Linked DNA regions of Xenopus tropicalis. The protein of the gene in region 1 purifies or fractionates together with the protein of each later gene. This does not show direct contact. Links are inferred from orthologs where the notes say so. Each region holds a gene or a part of one and is shown on either strand. Other genes may lie near its edges. The genes, in order: slx4, rtel1 and sumo1.

The links.
Region 2: the proteins of slx4 (region 1) and rtel1 purify together in Homo sapiens (affinity purification with mass spectrometry; 3 studies listed by BioGRID, with this or other methods). This does not show direct contact. The link is inferred for Xenopus tropicalis from reciprocal best matches to the Homo sapiens genes SLX4 and RTEL1.
Region 3: the proteins of slx4 (region 1) and sumo1 purify together in Homo sapiens (affinity purification with mass spectrometry; 3 studies listed by BioGRID, with this or other methods). This does not show direct contact. The link is inferred for Xenopus tropicalis from reciprocal best matches to the Homo sapiens genes SLX4 and SUMO1.

What each region holds. Positions count from the first base shown.
Region 1 is NC_030685.2:20,676,081-20,679,831, reverse strand, and holds the start of slx4 (structure-specific endonuclease subunit SLX4), read right to left. Parts: upstream 2,453-3,751; 5' UTR 2,346-2,452; intron 1-2,345. UniProt on the Homo sapiens protein: Regulatory subunit that interacts with and increases the activity of different structure-specific endonucleases.
Region 2 is NC_030686.2:1,008,176-1,011,926, reverse strand, and holds the start of rtel1 (regulator of telomere elongation helicase 1), read right to left. Parts: upstream 2,624-3,751; 5' UTR 2,204-2,623; coding exon 2,102-2,203; intron 613-2,101; coding exon 414-612; intron 1-413. UniProt on the Homo sapiens protein: A probable ATP-dependent DNA helicase implicated in telomere-length regulation, DNA repair and the maintenance of genomic stability. Acts as an anti-recombinase to counteract toxic recombination and limit crossover during meiosis.
Region 3 is NC_030685.2:52,313,683-52,317,433, reverse strand, and holds the start of sumo1 (small ubiquitin-related modifier 1 precursor), read left to right. Parts: upstream 1-1,338; 5' UTR 1,339-1,442; coding exon 1,443-1,454; intron 1,455-3,751. UniProt on the Homo sapiens protein: Ubiquitin-like protein that can be covalently attached to proteins as a monomer or a lysine-linked polymer.

The DNA.
Region 1 (3,751 bases):
AAATCTAGATTATAGCTGCATGTTTCTTGGCTGATCCACTGTTTACTGAATTAATATATTTAACACTGCATATAAACTTGAAGGCTTCTAACTTTCAGAACAACCATAAATAGGTGTAAGAATGTTGTATAAGGCCTGCAGGCTGAGCCATCATTGGAAGGTCAGTTGTACAGTATGGTACACAATAGGAATAATGTCACAATTAAACAACTATTTGCAAAGTTCTGGCACTAGATGGCAGCATTAGGAGAATTACAAATTCTACAAATAAGAGCAGCATTCAGTTATATTTATTCATTCCCTATATTTATATATAGTGCCAACACAGTTCCACAGCGCTTTACAGACATATAGGTCATTCCAATCAGTATATGTAGCTGACAAAACCCACACCAACACTAGCCAATAATTTAGAAGCGACTGCTCCAACATGCACAGTTGTATTGGTGCTATTTTAGTATAAACAATTATGGTTTACCATATACCATACAGGCCTATAAAATGCTGAGGTCAGTTGAGGCTGCAATACTTCTACTCATTAGGGCTAAAGCATGGGGATCGTATGTTTAACGTTCCGTTGGGCCCTGGAGGAGGCTGGGAGCCAACCCACAAGACCCCGGGCAGCATTGTTAGATGGGAAAGCAGGCCCGCTGTGGCCCTCCAACACTGTCCAATAACAACAAAAATCTTTTAGTATAATAAGGCTATATTAGATAGATATAAGAGATATTTGGCCCATTATATGGAAAATGTTTGAAGAATGGCCTGGGTCCTAAAAGGGCTCCACTGGCACAAATAACTGTAACCTTTAAAGGGGAACTGCGGCTTCTGAACCAACATTTTTTTGAAGAGCCCCACACAACACACCTAATATACCTATCATTGTAATCTGTTCCTTTAAAAGGTATGAATAAATACCATTTTATATGCTGAAATCCAGATGCACAACAGTTTATTTTCTTTCTGCATGACTGAAATCCTGGCAGGGGAGGAGGGACTAAAACATCAACGTTACAAATTGGAACAGCATCCCTACAGTTTACAGACAGCAAGCAGGAACTACATAACCCACAATGCATTGCACTCTGATGTTTCTTCCCTTATTAAAGGAGACATATAGGATAAATGAGAAAAACCCTAATTTTGTAGGCAATTATGAATAATATACGGTGCTGGTTTCCCTTTGGGCTAAACATTAATCCTCTCTGTAACAATGGCCCCTTTATTGGAGCTCCCTATAGATCCTCTGGCTTCTCTGTCCAGTGTGAAATGAAGAGTGGGCATGTCCTAACGGTCCCTGCCAGAAGCACAGTAGGAGGGGGAGAGCCAATCACAGCCCTGCACTCCCACAAGCACAGACAGACTTCAGTTCCCTATCAGGTCAGCCTAGCTGCTGATTGGTTCCTATCCTGCAGTGCAGTGTACGGAGGGCCGCCGGTTCCCCAGCTCATCCAGAGAATTCAGCCAGCAGGAAGTGGAACAGATGGGCGGGGCTAGTGGGGTTTTTGTGGAATTTCTCAATAAATCAGTCTGAAACACAACATTTTTAAGCACAATCCTTCTATATCTAGAGGAGTATAATTCACTGGTACATTCTTAATGTTTATAGGATATGTCTCCTTTAATATAATGTGTGCAATTTGGAGGATGCAGGCTCAGGACAGTCTCAATGTAATCAGCCAGCTGAGCAGAACAAGGGGCCCGGCTTAGGTAACTGTTTAAAACCATATTTTCTAATTGATGTATATTGCAAAGTTGCCTAAAATGATGTTTACTATTCGCAAAGTTGTGTTTGGGTGGAGTTCCCCTTTAATGACTAGAAGGGGCCAATTCACTATCCCATAAAGATGGCACGGTGACAAATGGAATGAAGGGATTCAGAAAAATAAGGGATAGGGGTCATAACACAGAGGGCCCTTGCCCTTTAGCTCCTAACTACACATATTCTAACATAATATATAACACTTATCAGCATTTCTGTTCAGTCACTAACTCTGAGCAGAATTCCCAGCAGTGCAGTAAAGTAACCCCCATGCTACCTGTACCATATTGATCAGCTGTTGCTTAGTTACTGCACTGAGGCAATGCTGACCGTACATAGTGAATGAGCCCCAGTCTCTCTGTCTAGTTACAGTGAAAATAATCCTTGTGTACGAACTAACGTGATTACCCAACCATATAACACATGTCAATCATTCTCATGTCAAAAGCCCTACAGGGCCACCTAGCTGGCTACTGAATGTGCCGCTGCAGGTTACTGGGCCCCATTCCTACAGCGGAGCTGCCAGCCCGCACCCTAAGCAGGATTCCATCATTCATTCACTGCAGCCATAGGGCTCACTCACCTCAGTAACACAGCTTCACACAAGCCGCCCCGGAATTGGCGCGTCATGACGTCAACACGCTTCCGCCCAGCTGTGACCGTGGCACGACGTCTCCACAGTAACAGAAGGAACTACCGGAACTCGGCTGACGCATGAGGCGCCACGCCGGAAGTGTTGGGGATTGTAAATAAAGCGCGTCTATAGTAATGTGTAAAGTTTAGGTTTTAGGCAGCTGTTTGTAGCTCAGCTGAAGCAGTGGCATGAAATAAAAAATAAATATAAATGTTTATTGAAAAGTTGCCTAGAATCACGTTTCCTTTCATATGCAAAAAAAACTCAAAAGACTTTGTGCGGAGTCCCCCCTTTAGCACATACACAGGGTTACCATTATTGTTACAACCAGTGTGGGCTGTCACTGTGCCAATAGGTTAATGTCCCTGCGCCCTCCCTACTCATTCCTAAGGGCGGCCTAACCCCCCCTTAACTCCAACACACTCCTACAGCTGGTGTGTTTTTGGTACAGAAACCCTACTATAGTTTATATAAATACCCCGCTGTGTAGCCCCAGGGGCAGCCATTCCTGCACTGGTACAGCTGGGGTGTTTGCTACAGAAACCCTACTATAGTTTGTATAAATACCCCGCTGTGTAGCCCCGGGGGCAGCCATTCCTGCACTGGTACAGCTGGGGTGTTTGCTACAGAAACCCTACTATAGTTTATATAAATACCCCGCTGTGTAGCCCCGGGGGCAGCCATTCCTGCACTGGTACAGCTGGGGTGTTTGCTACAGAAACCCTACTATAGTTTATATAAATACCCCGCTGTGTAGCCCCAGGGGCAGCCATTCCTGCACTGGTACAGCTGGGGTGTTTGCTACAGAAACCCTACTATAGTTTATATAAATATCCCGCTGTGTAGCCCCAGGGGCAGCCATTCCTGCACTGGTACAGCTGGGGTGTTTGCTACAGAAACCCTACTATAGTTTGTATAAATACCCCGCTGTGTAGCCCCGGGGGCAGCCATTCCTGCACTGGTACAGCTGGGGTGTTTGCTACAGAAACCCTACTATAGTTTATATAAATACCCCGCTGTGTAGCCCCGGGGGCAGCCATTCCTGCACTGGTACAGCTGGGGTGTTTGCTACAGAAACCCTACTATAGTTTGTATAAATACCCCGCTGTGTAGCCCCGGGGGCAGCCATTCCTGCACTGGTACAGCTGGGGTGTTTGCTACAGAAACCCTACTATAGTTTATATAAATACCCCGCTGTGTAGCCCTGAGGGCAGCCATTCCTGCACTGGTACAGCTGGGGTGTTTGCTACAGAAACCCTACTATAGTTTGTATAAATACCCCGCTGTGTAGCCCCGGGGGCAGCCATTCCTGCACTGGTACAGCTGGGGTGTTTGCTACAGAAACCCTACTATAG
Region 2 (3,751 bases), on another chromosome or scaffold:
AGTCCCTCTCCTATTCATTTACCATCGTCTCATTCAAACAGCTCCCTGGTTGCTAGGGTAATCTGAATCCTAGCAACCACAGAGCTGCTCAAACCCCAAACTGCACAGCTGCTGCAGCAAAAAGCAAAATAACTAAAAAAAATAAAAAATAAAGACCAACTGCAAATTGTCTCAGAATATCACTCTCTACATCATACTAAGAGTTAACTCAAAGGTGACCAACTCCTTTAACCCCCAACATGCTGGTACCTGTCATTATTATCTAGAGACCCCCCTGAGTGAGGCAAATCCGCCCCAGGGACTAGATGAAGCTCTGGGCTTGGGCTAAACTGTGGCCCTAAGGGGGCGAATGAGCCACACCAGCAGCACCCACTGCATCCACTCCCAGGGAGAAGCACCCTGCGTGCCAGTACCTGAGGCCTGCCCCTCCGCTGATGCACCGCCCCACGCTGCCGCCGGTCGCTCCGGGAAGAGTTCCGCGCCATTCATGCGTTCTGCGATCTTACGGGCACTGATCCCATCCTTGTAGTGCTGCCGCCAAGCCAGAGTGGCACAAAGGAGGCACAGAGTCTTCCCAGTGCCCGTGGGGCTCTCTAATACACCATTCACACCCTGGGGGCAAAGGGAAAGGAGGGCTGTAACGCCAGGCTGGCACTAGAGTAATAATGTTCCGGTACATTCAGAAATGATAGAAAAATGACCAAAGTGACTGATGGCTGAGCCACTTATACCCGCTGGGGCCCCACAGGGCAAATGGGCAGGGGAGGGTCCTACACTCTTTTGAACTATTTGGGGCTATTGATTCCATATACGCCTGCTCTATGGGCACTGCACTGTGTGGGGGTATGTGGTGGGGGGTATGTGGTGGGGGGTATGTGGTGGGGGGTATGTGTGAAACCCAACTGGCAGCCCTGGGCACAGATCCCTATTGCATAACATTATGGGGCCCCTGCCCTGTACTTTCCCTATCAGGGATCTTTGGGAAGTTTCTCTGTGAGTTTAATGTTCTATAACTCACTACCCGGGTACCCTATTCAGAATACTGCATCCCCTGATACCCCTATCCTGTTCCTTGTTGCCCCACTCCCTGCCCTCACTGAATTGTCATTAGCCCCACAGCCCCATACCCCTTGGCCCCATTAGCCCCCGCACCCCTCGGCCCCATTAGCCCCCGCACCCCTCGGCCCCATTACCCCCGCACCCCTCGGCCCCATTACCCCCGCACCCCTCGGCCCCATTACCCCCGCACCCCTCGGCCCCATTACCCCCGCACCCTCAGGCCCCATTACCCCCGCACCCCCCCGGCCCCATTACCCCGCACCCCCAGGCCCATTTACCCCCGCACCCTCAGGCCCATTACCCACCCGCATCCCCCGGCCCCATTACCCCCGCACCCCCAGCCCCATTACCCCGCACCCTCAGGCCCCATTACCCCCCACCTCAGGCCCCATTACCCCGCACCCTCAGCCCCCATTACCCCCGCACCCTCAGGCCCCATTACCCCCGCACCCTCAGGCCCCATTACCCCCGCACCCCAGGCCCCATTACCCCGCACCCTCAGGCCCCATTACCCCCGCCACCCCCGGCCCCATTACCCCGCACCCCCAGGCCCATTACCCCCGCACCCTCAGGCCCCATTACCCCCGCACCCCCCGGCCCCATTACCCCCGCACCCCCAGGCCCCATTACCCCGCACCCTCAGGCCCATTACCCCCGCACCCTCAGGCCCCATTACCCCCGCACCCCCAGGCCCATTACCCCCGCACCCCAGGCCCATTACCCCCGCACCCTCAGGCCCCATTACCCCCGCACCCCCCGGCCCATTACCCCCGCACCCCAGCCCCTTACCCCGCCACCCTCAGGCCCCATTACCCCCGCACCCCCAGGCCCCATTACCCCCGCACCCTCAGGCCCCATTACCCCCGCACCCCCAGGCCCCATTACCCCCGCACCCTCAGGCCCATTACCCCCGCACCCTCAGGCCCCATTACCCGGCCCATTACCCCGCACCCTCAGGCCCCATTACCCCCGCACCCTCAGGCCCATTACCCCGCCACCCCCAGGCCCCATTACCCCCGCACCCCTCGGCCCCATAGCGGACCTGCTGGAGGCACTGGATGACTTTGCCCATATAATCCTCCTGGCATTTATACGGCTGGAACGGGAAATCCACAGTCAGACCGGCCACCGGCACCTGAGGCATCTCCAACCTTTCCCCTCGCCGCCCGGTACCGCCTCACTTCCCGGTACCGCCTCACTTCCCGGTACCCCCTCGCTTCCCGGTAACCCCTCGCTGCCCGGTACCGCCTCGCTTCCCGGTACCGCCTCGCTTCCCGGTACCGCCTCGCTGCCCGGTAACCCCTCGCTGCCCGGTAACCCCTCGCTGCCCGGTACGCCTCGCTGCCCGGTACCGCCTCGCTTCCCGGTACCCCCTCGCTGCCCGGTAACCCCTCGCTGCCCGGTAACCCTCGCTGCCCGGTAACCCCTCGCTGCCCGGTAACCCCTCGCTGCCCGGTAACCCCTCGCCGCCCGGTACCGCCTCACTTCCGGCCTCCAGTCAAAGTTTGTGCTTCGCGCCCTTACGGCCTGACGTCATATACGTCCTCCCTGTGCGTGTGACGTGGCTGCAGCCGGACAGACTCCCTCTCCGGTTGGCTCAGACAGATAGGGACTGTCCCAGGGCGGCCGGTTGGCCGGTTTCCCGCCAGATTGGGCCCCTAATATAAAGCCCAGGCGGGTCCCACGGTAGAAGCCGCTGAGGTACAGTTGGGGTTAGGGTTTGAAGCCTTGGCGGGTTTGTAGTTTGGAAACTAATCAGAGTTTTATTTCTCTGACGTGCATGTGCATTCTGGGTAATGTAGTTTGTAGCTTACGTTTAGCCTACAGCCAAGATTAAAATAAAACTACAATACCCAGCATGCAATTATACACGGAAGCTCCCTTTTCTATTCCTCTTTGCTGAACCTGAAGCAGCAAAACTACAATAACCTGCAGGGACTGAGCACAGGGGGAAACATCACTCACATATTGGGCTACTGGGCTACTTTCTGTGTGGCTGTTGGCTAGCTGGGGGCTATTTTAGAACTGATACAGGATACCCTTCTTATTCACAGTAAGGGGGGATACAGGGTACCCTTCTTATTCACAGTAAGGGGGGATACAGGATACCCTTCTTATTCACAGTAAGGGGGGATACAGGATACCCTTCTTATTCACAGTAAGGGGGGATACAGGGTACCCTTCTTATTCACAGTAAGGGGGGATACAGGGTACCCTTCATATTCACAGTAAGGGCGGGATTACAGGGTACCCTTCTTATTCACAGTAAGGGGGATACAGGGTACCCTTCATATTCACATGTAAGGGGATACAGGATACCCTTCATATTCACAGTAAGGGGGGATACAGGATACCCTTCTTATTCACAGTAAGGGGGGATACAGGGTACCCTTCATATTCACAGTAAGGGGGGATACAGGGTACCCTTCATATTCACAGTAAGGGGGATTACAGGGTACCCTTCTTATTCACAGTAAAGGGGGATACAGGATACCCTTCTTATTCACAGTAAGGGGGATACAGGGTACCCTTCATATTCACAGTAAGGCGGGATACAGGGTACCCTTCATATTCACAGTAAGGGGGGGATTACAGGGTACCCTTCTTATTCACAGTAAGGGGGATACAGGCTACCCTTCATATTCACAGTAAGGGGGATACAGGATACCCTTCATATTCACAGTCAAGGGGG
Region 3 (3,751 bases), about 32 Mb from region 1:
GCTAAAGGCTGATAAAGAGTCAACATTATATTAGGCAACTTGATATATGGGGTAAGATGACCAGGATTTCACTTCTGGATTGGACTTTCAATTTTTATAATTATTATAACAAGGAGTTAGCGCTAAAAAAATATACCACCAAGTGTAAAAATTCTATAATATTTTAATCAATCATTAAATCAATACAAAAAGATACAAGTCATAAGTTAAAAGATACAATAGGATATAGTGATAATCAAAAACAGTTCGTTAAAACTAAAATGTTGGCCCTATTAGTTCATTAAAAAAGTGAACTAGGATAAATGAGGATGGTACAATAAATACGTGCATAAATAGTCATTTAAAAAGCTAAACGTATTTATTGTACCATCCTCATTTATCCTAGTTCACTTTTTTAATGAACTAATAGGGCCAACAATTTAGTTTTAACGAACTGTTTTTGATTATCACTATATCCTATTGTATCTTTTAACTTATGACTTGTATCTTTTTGTATTGATTTAATGATTAATTAAAATATTATAGAATTTTTACACTTGGTGGTATATTTTTTTAGCGCTAACTCCTTGTTATAATATTTATATATTCACTGTGAGGATTAGTTTGGAGGAAGGAGGCTATTTATGATATTCTATTCACTATTTGGGTAAGAGGATTGTTGTTGGGTAATTTAATTTGTTTTTTAGAATAATATTAGTCTTTCACGAACTACACATAAATTTATTAGAAGCGCGGGTAAGGTTTATTCACACAATTTTGATAATTATGTCTATTCTCCACCCACCCTATGCCTCGGTATCTGTTATTTAGTCTCTTCCCAATGTGTCCTCTAATATAGAGGCATCAGGGGCTCTCAAGGGATCAGATTGACAAGATAAGATAACCAATTTTTTTTTCATATAAGCAATTGTCTGTAATTTGGCTCATTCATTTAACCAGTTTATATAAACATTTGTGGTCAATTTCAATCATGCGACGCAACCAAAAAGGTTAAGAATCACCTACTAAAACGTCAAAAGCCACGTAAAGCCAGGTAAAGCCAATCTACTATGTAACGGGGCCTTTTAATGATGTGAGGCTGGCAGTGCCAAAGCCATTAGACGCCTACTATTAATGCTCGGCTTTGGAGAGGTTAATGCTCTATACAGAAAAAACACTGGATATCAATGGTTAAAGGCTGACGTTCGCATTACAATATGGACACAAAAGCGCCACCTAGTGCTCAGCGTCTGTGCAAGCGCATACCCCTACCATTTGCCGCAAGCCGCAGCAGTGCGCGTCAGCAAAATGTGGGCGGTGCCGCATGTATCGGAAATGAGGTCATTCCCAAGAACCGGAACACCTTCCTTGTCTGGTTCTCTTGTGCTGTTATTGTGCCCGGAGGAAGGAAAAGCGTAGAGCGGTCCAGTGTAGCGAACCGATACCGGCCGAGAGCAGTTAGCATGTCTGATCAGGTGAGACACTTTTGTGGAGTGGGCGGGAGAACGAGAGAAAGTCTCTGGGACGTGTGTGTCTTGTTTTGTGTGTCTGGAGACCTGCTTGTAGATGTAAACAAGTAGGTCTCATGGCTACACATTAATATGCAGCTAAAGTAGTACATGCGGCCCATAACCAAGGGCGGCAGCTAAGTCATTTACTTTCATTTTATACGACACTTAGACTATTAGAGCTGGTTGCTATGGGTTTCTGCTGCTGTGCACTTTTGCTGGATAAACTGCTCTATAGGACCCACACCCCGTTGTGTGTCGTGTAATTTGCTTTATGTCTTATTGTCCAGTATGTGTATCTTCTCCTGTAGATGTTATTATCTGTGAGTAATTGCCCAGTGGTGGTTGGCGAAGTGAGAGGCCTAACAGGAAAGCCAGAGATATATTGGCCCATATAGTTATTTGACCTATATAAAGTATATATTAACCTAACAAGTTTCAGCAGCTTTAGCCTTATGGGGTCTCACACAGCATTGATTTGTTACAGTAGGGTAAATCTGTTAGCCTGGAAGAGCTCAAAGCATTTCAGAACTATCAGGTACATAAATTAAGTCTATTTATGAGCATCCACTAAGTGTTTGTAGATACATTATTATGTTTGGTTGAAAATATAACAATCGCGTTTAACCCTTCCAAACAAACACCGCTGCACACGTATACACATGTTAATTTAATTGTAGTGGTAATTCCCATTACCCAGGGGAGGTATCATGTTAAGCTGTGTGTAGGTATGTGGGAGTTAACGATTGATCTCTTGTAGTACACTCTGCTTGTTTATATTGTATGTAATGTTCAAGCACATCTTGTTTTCTTGCATGACTTTCATAGTTTAGGATCCCAATCTTATCTTTAATGCAGCCACCTAAAGGGTGACGGTTTAAACATTCAAGTGGACTACAGGCCAAAATGATTAGATCCCTGTGATGTTGGGCAGTACCAGCTAGTCCTGTCACTTCAAACTTTGCTGATGCCGCATTCATGTGGGCATGGGGACCACTGGGAGCCCCAAATTTCTGTCTGGCCCAATTAAGTGCACTTTCAATGGTGCGACGGATTAAATACCAGTGATGCACGCAGATGTTTCTGTTGAAAGCTGTTTTTCCCATTATTGGTATTTATTGCCTTACATTTAGGGCAACATTGCGTACATGCATTTGTGTCAAATGTATATCACTCTGTTATTTTGTATCTCAGTCTGTGGGTATGTGTGAACAAGTATTCCCATTTCATCATACACCTCTAAAATAGTGTCTGAAAAGTTGCTTTTTGTACAGCTTTACTGAAAAAAAATTTAAATACTTTGCTAGCACCATTGAGCAATTCCATTCACTGCTGGGTGCTTTTCCAAGATGTGCAGAAGAGTTAGTAGGGCTCCTAAATTATCTCTGCAAGTGTAATTTCAGTCTCTAACTTCCGCGCAGTTAGTTGTGTGTAAAACCACTTTCATTTGAGGTACGTAAGTGAAAATGCGCTTCTTAAAGGACAAGGAAAGTCGAAATCTATTAAGCACACTATTAAATAGTACTACTATTGCTGTGTAAAAACGCTATATTTCTGGCTTGCCCAATGAAATATTTACAGAGATACACATACTAGAACTTACATACTTGTTTCAGTGAACGGCGCCGCCATCTTGTCCAGCATGTCTGTATGGGCTATTGCTGAAAAGCACAAGCCAGCCCCCCTCCGATCCCCTCACCTGCCACAAACCCTCCACCGCTCCCCGCTTCTGCCACAACCCCCCCCCGCTTCTGCCACAACCCCCCCCCCGCTTCTGCCACAACCCCCCCCCGCTCCTGCCACAACCCCCCCCGCTCCTGCCACAACCCCCCCCTGCTCCTGCCACAACCCCCCCCTGCTCCTGCCACAACCCCCCCCTGCTCCTGCCACAACCCCCCCCCGCTCCTGCCACAACCCCCCCCCCCCTGCTCCTGTCACAAACCCTCCGCCGCTTCCCACTCCTGCCACAAACCCCCCGCCGCTCCTCCCACCTGCCGGCTCTGCATGTCACAAATGCAGATGCATCACTGCATATCAACTCCCCCGGCTCCCCGCTCCTGCCACAAACCCTCTGCCGCTCCCCCCACCTGCCAGGTCTGAATGTCACAGAGCAGAGTTCTCCTGTCGGCTGCGTCGCCATGGCAACCAGACGCTCCTGCTGTGTGCGCATGCGCTGCCTACAGTCCCAAGTTGCCAAGTCTGGGCAGGAGCGTTGCATTATGGGAATCTTCTCTACCCTGCTCAGCGTTTTTTTTTCCTGTTTG